Linked DNA regions of Macaca fascicularis. The protein of the gene in region 1 purifies or fractionates together with the protein of each later gene. This does not show direct contact. Links are inferred from orthologs where the notes say so. Each region holds a gene or a part of one and is shown in the gene's direction. Other genes may lie near its edges.

Evidence for each region.
Region 2: the proteins of DAP3 (region 1) and HNRNPU purify together in Homo sapiens (affinity purification with mass spectrometry; 3 studies listed by BioGRID and IntAct, with this or other methods). This does not show direct contact. The link is inferred for Macaca fascicularis from reciprocal best matches to the Homo sapiens genes DAP3 and HNRNPU.
Region 3: the proteins of DAP3 (region 1) and YBX1 purify together in Homo sapiens (co-immunoprecipitation; 3 studies listed by BioGRID and IntAct, with this or other methods). This does not show direct contact. The link is inferred for Macaca fascicularis from reciprocal best matches to the Homo sapiens genes DAP3 and YBX1.

The regions. Positions count from the first base shown.
Region 1 is NC_088375.1:105,381,061-105,384,707, reverse strand, and holds part of DAP3 (small ribosomal subunit protein mS29), read left to right. Parts: intron 1-3,375; coding exon 3,376-3,484; intron 3,485-3,647. UniProt on the Homo sapiens protein: As a component of the mitochondrial small ribosomal subunit, it plays a role in the translation of mitochondrial mRNAs. Involved in mediating interferon-gamma-induced cell death. Displays GTPase activity in vitro.
Region 2 is NC_088375.1:4,313,744-4,317,995, forward strand, and holds the start of HNRNPU (heterogeneous nuclear ribonucleoprotein U), read left to right. Parts: upstream 1-1,354; 5' UTR 1,355-1,592; coding exon 1,593-2,283; intron 2,284-3,173; coding exon 3,174-3,285; intron 3,286-3,372; coding exon 3,373-3,446; intron 3,447-4,252. UniProt on the Homo sapiens protein: DNA- and RNA-binding protein involved in several cellular processes such as nuclear chromatin organization, telomere-length regulation, transcription, mRNA alternative splicing and stability, Xist-mediated transcriptional silencing and mitotic cell progression.
Region 3 is NC_088375.1:192,168,952-192,172,561, reverse strand, and holds the end of YBX1 (Y-box-binding protein 1), read left to right. Parts: intron 1-1,441; coding exon 1,442-1,676; 3' UTR 1,677-1,707; intron 1,708-2,606; 3' UTR 2,607-2,989; downstream 2,990-3,610. UniProt on the Homo sapiens protein: DNA- and RNA-binding protein involved in various processes, such as translational repression, RNA stabilization, mRNA splicing, DNA repair and transcription regulation.

The DNA.
Region 1 (3,647 bases):
AGTTTTAGCGTGCGAGCCAGAGGATCTTCTTTCTTTAGTGTGGTTTATTTCAGGAAATTAGATGAATAATAAGGGCATAACAGGTCGGGCGCTATGGCTCATGCCTATAATCCCAGCTGCACTTTGGGAGGCCAAGGTGGAGGGATCACTTGAGCCCAGGAGTTCGAGACCAGTCTGGGCAACATAGGGAGACCTGTCTCTACAAAAATTAAAAATAAAAAATTAGCCGGACATGGTGCACACCTGTAGTCACAGCTCCTCGGGTGGCTGAGGTTGGAGGATCACTTGAGCTCAGGAGGTGATCAGTAAGCTGTGATTGCACCACTGTACCCCAGCCTGGGTAACAGAGCGAGACCTTATCTCAAGCAAAGTAAGGTATAACAGGCCAGGCAAGGTAGTTTATGCCTGTAGTCTCAGCACTTTGGGAGGTGAAGGTGGGACGATCGTTTGAGTGCAGGAGTTTAAGACCAGCTGGGCAATATAATGAGACTGTATCTTTAGAAAGAAAAACACGGGCAACCTGCTGGGGTCCCCTTCCACACTGTGGAAGTTTTGTTCTTTTCCTCTTCACAATAAATTCTTGCTGTTGCTCACTCAAAAAAAAAAAAAACATTTAGTCGTGTGTGGTAGCTCCTTGAGGTAGCTCCTTAGGAGGCAGCTCCTTAGGAGGCTGAGGCAGGAGGATGGCTTGAGCCCCGGAGTTCAGGCTGCAGTGAGCTACGATAGTGCCACAGCACTCCAACTTGGGCAACAGAGTGAGACCCTGTCTCCAAAAAACAATTTTAATTAAAAAAAATTTTTGTTGTTGTTGTTAAGATTGGAAATGGGACACAACCAGAAGAAAGCATCTGCAGTGGCACTTTAAACTGTTCAAGACATTCAAGTACAATATTGATTTAGCTTCAGGGTTGTGAGGTACTGTCTTTAATTAACTATTTGAAGTTGTTTTCAGACTGGGTTAACCAACAATGCTCTGGAAGAACTTAAGCATTCTTTTCATAATTTTCATTTACGTGAAGGCCCACTTCCTCACCATTATTGTGGATATTAGCATTGTCATACTGCCTAATATGACATTTTTTTTTTTAAATACTGCTTCTTTTGGAGCAGACCTAACTGACGGACAGTGTGCCTAGAGTAGCTGACTTTTATTTTATTATTATTATTTTAATTACAGAGCCTGGTTGTCTCACTCTGACAACCAGGCTGGGGTACAGTGGCGTGACCATAGCGTACTCTACATCTCTGACCTCCTGGGCTCAAGTGATCCTCCTGTCTTGGTATCTCAAAGTGCTGGGATTACAGGTGTGAGCCACAGCTCCCAGCCCTGATGTGCCTTTTTTTTTTTTTTTTTTTTTTAAACAGAGTTTCACTTTTGTCACCCAGGCTGGAATGCAGTGATGTGATCTCAGCTCACTGTAACCTCCGCCTCCTGAGTTCAAGTGATTCTCCTACCTCAGCCTCCCAAGGAGCTGGGATTACAGGTGCTCGCCACCACGCCTGGCTAATTTTTATATTTTTAGTAGAGATGGGGATTTGCCATATTGGCCAGGCTGCTCTCCAACTACTAACCTCAGGTGATCCACTTGCCTTGGCCTCCCAAAGTGCTGGGATTACAGGCGTGAGCCACCACGCCCAGCCGACATTTGTTTTAATACCTGTATCGTGTTTTTTTGAACATTGAACCTTCCATTAAGTTTGGAATCGCCTGTCAAATCCTACAGCAATTCAATTGTTTTGTTAGGATTTCTTTTAAAAATATCAACACTGGCTGGGTACAGTGGCTCACGCCTGTAATCCCAGCACTTTGGGAAGTCGAGGTGAGCAGATTACTTAAGGCCAGGAGTTCAAGACAAGCCTGGCCAAACATGGTGAAACTCCGTCTCTACTAAAAATACAAAAATTAGCTGGGCATGGTGGTGCACGCCTGTAGTCACAGCTACTTGTGAGACTGAAGCAGGAAAAACGCTTGACCCCGGGAGGCAGAGCTTGCAGTGAGCTGAGATCGTGTCACTGCACTCCAGTCTGTGCGACAGAGCGAGACTCTGTCTCAAAAAAATAAAAAAATTAACGCTATTTTAGTTATACTTACAAATAGTATTTGTTAGATATTTATTCTTATTAGTAGACATATTTTAATATTTTCTTTGCAAATCAGTTTCACACACATTAGTGCTTCCCAAATTTCCTGCCAAAGTATTCTGGTAGCAAAAGGGGAATGAACACATAAACTCTGAAAGGTTAGTATGCTGGGGGTGTGAGGTATGGATGGCCTTAGAGTTGTGGGGGCAGCTGGTCACACCTGCTCCTGAGCTGCCATGTATTTAGTTCTAGAGAAAAAAGTAAATGGTTAAAGTAATAAAAATAAATTTTAGGCCAGGCACGGTGGCTCATGCCTATAATCCCAGCACCTTGGGAGACCTAGGTGGGCGGATCATGAGGTCAGGAGTTCGAGACCAGCCTGACCAACATGGTGAAACCCTGTCTCTACTAAAATTACAAAAATCAGCCTGGCGTGGTTGCGGCACCTGTAATCCCAGCTACTGAGGAGGCTGAGGCGGGAGAATTGCTTGAACCCAGGAGGCGGAGGTTGCAGTGAGCCAAGATCACGCCACCGCACTCCAGCCTGGGTGACAGAGCGAGACTCCGTCTCAAAAAAAAAATTAACTAAAAATAAATTTTAGGCCGGGCGCACTGGCTCACGCCTGTAATCCCTGCACTTAGGGAGGCCGAGGCAGGGGGATCACCTGAGGTCGGGAGTTTGAGACCAGCCTGACCAATATTGAGAAACTCCATCTGTACTAAAAATACAAAATAGCCAGGCGTGGTGGTGCATGCCTGTAATCCCAGCTACTCGGGAGGCTGAGGTGGGAGAATCACTTGAACCGGGAGGCAGAGGTTGTGGTGAGCCGAGATCGTGCCATTGCATTCCAGCCTGAGCAACAAGAGTGAAACTCCATCTCAAAAAAAAAAAAAAAAAAGTTAATGTTTATTGAATTATTAACTTGTGTCAGAAATTTTAAGCATTTTTCTATATGCTTTCCATATTTACAGTGGCCCTAAGTGGTATACATAATTTTGTCATGAGACATATCAATTATTTGTAGATTTTAGCTGCGATAGAATATATGCTTCAGTAACAGGAATAATCAAAAGCTATCACGTTACTTAGTGCAGAATAATGTATTTCAGTTTTTAGCTAAGTTATATGGATAGATTTTCAAACTCAGTACCAACCCAGCTTCTCCTAACCGAATAAATTAGAGGCATGCAATTTGATGGTCTTGGTTGCCACTTTTGGCAGAGTATGTATACCAAGAACTGGCTAGAAATTCCACACCCCACCCACTCCTTCCTTCTTTCCTATTTTATCAGGTGAAGACACTCAGTGAAGCTTGCCTGATGGTAAGGAAACCAGCCCTAGAACTTCTGCATTACCTGAAAAACACCAATTTTGCTTATCCGGCTGTACGATATCTTCTGTGTATCCTTTCCTGCCTGCTTGGACCCTCATAAACCAATGCTTTCTCCCCTCAAATAAGGGAAAAGAAGAAATGAAAAAAAGTACTATGGAGGCCAGGCACTGTGGCTCACACCTGTAATCCCAGGAGTTTGGGAAGCTGAAGCAGGCGTATCACCTGAAGTCA
Region 2 (4,252 bases), about 100 Mb from region 1:
ATACATGGCTGCAAGGTATGACAGAATGCTTCATAAAAGCCATTGAAAATAAACTTCAAAAGTAAAATGCATCAATCAGTTAAATCCCATTAGCCTATGGGAGAAATTTCAATATGTATACCTCCAAATTTCAAATTAATAATGGGGCAATATTATTGTGCCACCTAGAGTACCAAACAGTGGGTATAAACCATCTCCTTAGTCAGATGGAACACTGGCTGGACACTGCAGATTATCTGGGGTTTAAGACGTTAACTTCTATCACGAATCTAAATTCTGACTTCCCTGTCTAAAACTTCGGGAACATCACATCTTTTATTTAAAGCGAAAAAGTAAACTTCTAACATACAAAATAACGGATTTCTTTTCAAGAGCGATAGTCCTTTTTTTTTTTTTTTTTTTTTTAACAAAATCACTGCCCTTGATTTTTCATGAACTTTAAGTTTCAGAATGATTTGGTCAAGAGTATTTCTACAGGAATAGGAAGAGAATCAAGTGGGCCTATAATCAAAGACCTAGCTGGGTCTCACCCTCATGGTTAACTACTGAGACTTCATAGCCGATGACCAGGTCCTAAAGTGGACAGAACAAGCCTTACTGGAGGTCCGTCTTTGTGGTAGGTACAGAAAACTTGGAAATGCAATTCTGTGGTTTATTTAGGGTTATTAAGAGCATGAGAATAGCCCTGCAAAGGCTGGTAAACTAGGGTTTGCAGTATGGAGTAGTAAGCAAAGCCTCTACTTCCCAGGCCCTGCACCCGGGGTGTGGAACAGACAAAAGAACGGCTCTGCCCTTGCCCTTCTCGAACTTAAAATCCAATTCGCAAAGCAGGACTTACACATATTAAATCAAATACAGCATTATGCTGAAAAGAGCCCCTGCGTGTAACAGTTGCCAATGTGTGTTATACCAGTCAAAACGATTTGAAGGAGTTTTAAACGAAAAGCTGGAGAAACATACAAGAAGGCAGATCTAAGATGGAAGAAAAGGCGTATTCGGGTTGAAATGCCAAGTTGAGGACTGAAGAAAGCATTTGGACAAAGCAGCCTCCAGGCTGGGAAGGCGAAAAGCCAAACGAGTATAGCCACCAAAGACCCAGAAAGGCCAATAGATTGTGCAGTGAGTCGGTTTAACTGAAAGGCGGTTTCCTTTTCCTCCATTTGCTCAGTCCCAATTGGAAGCGCACTGCGCGGCCTGCGCCGCGCTCTCCGCCCGGGTTCGGCGTGGGGGCGGGGAGGTAAGTACGGTAATGGGCGGGGCCGAGCGCGGGCGCGCTCCGGCTTTCCTCCTGCGCAGCGCTCCCGTCAGCGCAGGGGGCGGGGCGCCTATATTACGTGCGCGGCGCCGCCCCTGCGAGAGGACGTTGCGTGCTCGCTCGCGCCAGGCGAGTCTCCGCGTCTCCCTCGCGAACTCGGTGAAAGGAATTGGCGCCGTTCGACACCAGGCGGATCCGCTCTGCAGCACGACCCCATCTCCAGCCGCAGCCGCAGCCGCCGCCCGGGCCGAGGAGCAGCCGCAGCAGCCGCCACCAGTGGCCGAGTGAGCGGAGCCGAGTTTGAGGCAGCGCCTAGCGGTGAATCGGGGCCCTCACCATGAGTTCCTCGCCTGTTAATGTAAAAAAGCTGAAGGTGTCGGAGCTGAAAGAGGAGCTCAAGAAGCGACGCCTTTCTGACAAGGGTCTCAAGGCCGAGCTCATGGAGCGACTCCAGGCCGCGCTGGACGACGAGGAGGCCGGGGGCCGCCCCGCCATGGAGCCCGGGAACGGCAGCCTAGACCTGGGCGGGGATTCCGCCGGGCGCTCGGGAGCAGGCCTCGAGCAGGAGGCCGCGGTCGGCGGCGATGAAGAGGAGGAGGAAGAGGAAGAGGAGGAGGAAGGAATCTCCGCCCTGGACGGCGACCAGATGGAGCTAGGAGAGGAGAACGGGGCCGCGGGGGCGGCCGACTCGGGCCCGATGGAGGAGGAGGAGGCCGCCTCGGAAGACGAGAACGGCGACGATCAGGGTTTCCAGGAAGGGGAAGATGAGCTCGGGGACGAAGAGGAAGGCGCGGGCGACGAGAACGGGCACGGGGAGCAGCAGCCTCAACCGCCGGCGACGCAGCAGCAACAGACCCAACAGCAGCGCGGGGCCGCCAAGGAGGCCGCGGGGAAGAGCAGCGGCCCCACCTCGCTGTTCGCGGTGACGGTGGCGCCGCCCGGGGCGAGGCAGGGCCAGCAGCAGGCGGGAGGTAAGAAGAAGGCGGAAGGCGGCGGAGGCGGCGGTCGCCCCGGGGCTCCGGCGGCGGGTGAGTGCTGCGTTGTACGTTGCGCGCGGCGGGAGGCCCGCGCGGGGTGGGGACCGTGCCCCAGGCCTGCCGGAGCCCCGCAGGGGGAGGGAGCCCCGGGCGGGCGGGGGCCGCGGGGAGGGTGGCGGGTGGGGGAGGGGGCGCGGGGAATCCCAGATTAGCCGAGAGGCCTCGGGCTCGGGGCGTGTGTGCGTGTGTTCGTGTGTGTGTGTGTGTGTGTGACGGCGGTGGCAGCGCCTCCATTATGTGGCTCGAGAGCCGGGGGGAGCTGCAGCTGCCGCTGGAGGGGGAGGAGCCGCGGGCGGGCGGCGGGAGGGAGCCCGGTCGGCCCGCGGTGGCGCCGTCGCGCTGCGTGCGCGCGGTGCGGGCACATGTCTCGGGGGGAGGGGAGAGGCCCCAGGTCCCGGGGCGGGCGCGCTTTGGCGGCTCCTCGCCGCTGTATTGTGCAAGGAGCGCAGGGGCTCGGCGTGACGTCACTTCCTGCGGGAGGAGCCGGGCGGGGCGGGGCGGGGGGCGGAAGATCAGTACAATGCGGCCGCGGGGAGCGCGGGCCCGCGGGGGAGGGGAGCGCCGCCGCGCCGGGCTCGGCCCCTCCCCCTCCTGCGCCCTGGTCGCGATACACGTGGGCTTCGGGCCTGGGCCGCGCAGTTTTTCTTTGGGTTTCTCGAATCATCGAGGAGACTGGCAAAATTCGTAACGTCTTTAGACTGCGTCACTAGCGCTAATCCAATTCGTAGCTGATTGTTCTTCGAATTCACATTTGAGTCCTCGGTTAAAACCTCAGTTAAAAAGCAGGATAAAGTCGAGCTGCTTTGCTTCTCGGAACGGAAAAGCGCTTTTTTGTTGTTGTTTAGCGGCCTGGCCTCTTATGGGGGTCTTGTGTGTTTTAGGGGACGGCAAAACAGAACAGAAAGGCGGAGATAAAAAGAGGGGTGTTAAAAGACCACGAGAAGATCATGGCCGTGGATATTTTGAGTACATTGAAGAGAACAAGTATAGCAGGTATAGGATGCTCACCTAGTTTTACTTGTCATCCCTTATTCGTTCGTTGATCGGAAAGCTGTATCAGGAGACAATTCTGTCTTTCAGAGCCAAATCTCCTCAGCCACCTGTTGAAGAAGAAGATGAACACTTCGATGACACAGTGGTTTGTCTTGATACTTGTAAGTGAAGCTGTTTCTCCCCAATTATGAAATGCGGTGATGGTTTTTATTTTTTTTTTTTGCTTCCAAAATGTTAGAAAACTTAATGCTTAAGTGCAGCAAAAGTTGGGTTAGTTTTTTTTAAAAGCAGGAAGAGATAATGGTTTATATTCAGAACCTAGTAGTTTAATATTTAGCACGGCATCAGTTGTATCAAATGGATTATTTTACAGGCTCTAGGAGTTTCATATTTTTATGACTTGAAAGTTCTCGTTCTTAGGAAATGTAAAATTAATGCCAGTTTCTGACTAGCTAACGGAAACTTGTAACACTACCTATAATTTAGCCTTACAGGCTTCTACAATAAAGTAATTCATTTTTTTGTGGAATTATATTAAGTGAGCTATTTGGGCTAGTTAAATATTTACTAATGACTTCTCCCATTAGCACACAAGTATATTCCCTATTCTAAAAGATTGTAATATTATTTTTTCAATAACTGCTCTTTTGTTCTCAATTCCAGTTCAGTAGCTGCTGCTTTAAACATAAGTTGATTTCTTCCAAAGACCTGAGGCAGCAGCAGTGGGCTATCACTGGGCCACTAGCTTTCTTCAGCAGCGAATGGTATCAATGGCAGTGCAGCACTGTAAATACTGCTACTTCACCCAGTTGGGTTGCAATTGAGTATGAGAAAGTATTGCAAACCTCTAAGTGGGCTTTGACTGTCAGACTTGCATTTTTTTTGTTGTTGTTATAAAAAAAAGTAGTTGGTTTAGTGACCAGAATTCACAACTCTGGGTGTGATAAATAGACCAAAGAATAGAAAT
Region 3 (3,610 bases), about 87 Mb from region 1:
TCAAAAGAAGAGGAAGTTTGAAAAGTTTGGGGCAAAGAACCCTGTAGCAGAGAAAATAGAGATGGTAAATTTGTAAGTAATAGGATAACAATCATAAATTAGAAGTGAGTTCACCCAGCTTGGCTCTGTGTTTCTAGCCATTTGAGCATCAGGCTCAGATTGGGCAGAGAGTTGGATTTCTCTGGCATTGGTTTATCCAGACTTAGACCCTGGGGTAGGGATTGGTCATATGATTAATGGTGGACTTTATACTTGGATAAAGAGGGGAGAAAAGGGGAACATGAGGGGTTTTTAAAAATTGTGTTGTAGACATGGAGTTGCACTGTGTTACTCAAGCAGTCTTGAACTGCCCTCAAGTGATCCTCCCCAAGTGTTAGGATTACAGGTGTAAGCCACTGTGCCCAACCTTGGAGTGAGATGAACAGGTGATAGGATCGCTGTATTACAGGTCCTAGATGAAGAATGAGAAAACAATAAGGAATTAACTAGGAAAAATCAGAAGGTACATAATTGGAAAGGTGGGTAGTATAACTGAGAAAACCCAGGTAGAAAACAGCTGGACTGGGAGGTCGGTCTGAAAGCCCAGGTTATTAGAAGCTGTTATCCTCGAACCTTAATAATAACTGCAATAAGAAAAAGATAGTAAATGGAGCAGAATCCAAAATAAGATGGAACGCCTACAGTTTTTAGAAGCTAGGAGAGTTGATTTAGAAGCCACAATAAGGTTAGAACAGTCACCACTGGAGGGTTACAGAGAAAAGTCAGAACAATTTTGTTGAAGATTCATCATGAGTTCCAAAAGATGTGGGGAAAGAGTTTTAGAATGTACAAAGGTAAATGTGAATTTATTCCCATGATAACTGATAGATACTAAAGGCCTGGGGCTTTCTGGAGTGCTCAGGGTATGGGTGAAGGAAAGGCCAGGAATCCATCGTTTCTGAGCACTGGGGGAAAGAAAATCCCAAAATTTAGTATCTTTATCTTGGTGATTAAAAGACGCAACCCTTTAATCCCAGCACTTTTTGGGAGGCCAAGGAGGGAAGATAGCTTGAGCTCGGGAATTGAAGACCAGCCTGGGAAACATAGCAAGATATCTCTACTAAAAATCAGACATTAATGAGGCATTAGGGCTTGCCTATAGTCCTAGCTACTCAGGAGTCTGAGATGGGAAGATCACTTGAGCCTGGAAGATAGAGGCCACAGTGAGCTGTCATCATGCCATGGCACTTTAGCCTGGGCAACAAAGCAAGACTCCCAACCCGCCGACACCCACCCCCCCTGACAAAAAAAAAAAATCTCCTTACACAAATTGCCTACAGACCACTTGATACAGAGAATGGGCCAGACATGGTGAGTTAGTTGTGAACCAACTGGTAACACTGGTAGGTGTGTTGAAGAGAGAAGGTTTTATCATTCTTAAATTTGACACTGTTCATTGCAGGGGCCCTCCTCGCCAAAGACAGCCTAGAGAGGACGGCAATGAAGAAGATAAAGAAAATCAAGGAGATGAGACCCAAGGTCAGCAGCCACCTCAACGTCGGTACCGCCGCAACTTCAATTACCGACGCAGACGCCCAGAAAACCCTAAACCACAAGATGGCAAAGAGACAAAAGCAGCCGATCCACCAGCTGAGAATTCGTCCGCTCCCGAGGCTGAGCAGGGCGGGGCTGAGTAAATGCCGGCTTACCATCTCTACCATCATCCGGGTAAGCAAGCTTGGATGGCCATCATTTATGACAGTTGTGAGTGGTGACCATTTCATTTTATTAATACAAGAGGGGGAAAATCTCAGTTCCATCAGATAAAGCCATGTTATTTATAATGTGTTCTGCCCTGTTCTTAATTACCTAATATTTCATTTTAGGAATATTGAATATCATAGTCATATTTGGCCACCCCTCAGCTAGTTCTCAATTCTGACACTGGAGACCTGTATTTTCTTGAGTATTTTGAACTGTTAGCACTTTCTATCAACTTCTCTGAATGAATTTTATGATGTCACTAGTAAACGGAGGAAAGTTTTGCTAGCTGTATTCTGAGAAATAAGTTAATTACATTATTATTTATGCATTATTTCAAAAAAGAAGTAGGATAGCTATTAGAATTAACCCACTGAAAGTGGCAACATCGATATAATCTTTTAATCATTTCTAATTGTTTTTTGTTGGTTTATGTTGTTCCGGGAAAAAGATGAGAGTGTTTTGTGTCTAAAAACTCCTAGGAGAATGACTCACGGTTTATCATGGTGTATTTAAACTGCCTATAGATTAATAGTAGTAATTCTCTGGCAGACCACATGATACATTTTTGTTCTTGTTACTTTGGCTTATTAGCTCACTTGTTTTTGTTACCCTTAATTCCAAAATTAAGGGATTCCTTTTCATTCAGCATTTTACATGATATCGAGAGGTGTGTGATTGTCCTTCCCTCCGAAATTAGCATTCAACCAGTAGTGCTCTTGGTTTTTTCCCCTTTGCTATTTGCTGGATGGCAAAAGATCTGTTAATGTCTCCCAATACACAAGTAATGTAAGCTAGAGCATGTACTACACTAAATGAAGATTACCATGAATTCTACATGATCATCTTTATTTTTTTCTTTACAGTTTAGTCATCCAACAAGAAGAAATATGAAATTCCAGCAATAAGAAATGAACAAAAGATTGGAGCTGAAGACCTTAAGTGCTTGCTTTTTGCCCGTTGACCAGATAAATAGAACTATCTGCATTATCTATGCAGCATGGGGTTTTTATTATTTTTACCTAAAGACGTCTCTTTTTGGTAATAACAAACGTGTTTTTTAAAAAAGCCTGGTTTTTCTCAATACGCCTTTAAAGGTTTTTAAATTGTTTCATATCTGGTCAAGTTGAGATTTTTAAGAACTTCATTTTTAATTTGTAATAAAAGTTTACAACTTGATTTTTTCAAAAAAGTCAACAAACTGCAAGCACCTGTTAATAAAGGTCTTAAATAATTGTCTTTGTGTAAATTTGTCTAGTTTTGCTTTAGTTTAAGTTCTTAGCTATTTGTAGGACCCTCAGCTTGACCCAGTCTACAAATAGATGATGCTCACTGGCAATTCCCTCAGGTAAAATGTCTTTAAAATCTCTAATCCTTTAAGTGGCATGCCTGTGGGCCCATAATAAAAATTAGAAAATACATACTCTTGATAACCTGGCTATTTTTCATTGAAGGATTAGCTCATTTGTAAGGAAGGCTTTTTTTGTGTGGGTTCCTTTGGCTGTGAGGCAGTGTTTAAAAGGGCATTGCTCTAACCTAAACCAACCAGACTCTCATCCTGCTCCACTTAGTTTTGTCACGTTCGGAGAATTTATTTCAGTGTGCCAATTGAAGATGTCAACTTTAAAGTGTTAGGAGAACCTGTCACAATGCCTGGTGTGGTTCAGCTGCTTATGTCCTAGAGATGGAAACAAATAATATAAAACCCATGGGAAAACTGCTTAGAACATGGAGGTTGGTGAACTTGTAATTATGTGGTTCTCAACACCTTATAGCCTAAGCCTAGTCTGGCTGTTCTTTTCTGTTTTTGAGACTTGAGTCGTGTTCTGTCACCAGGCTGGAGTGCAGTGGCGCGATCTCGGCTCACTGC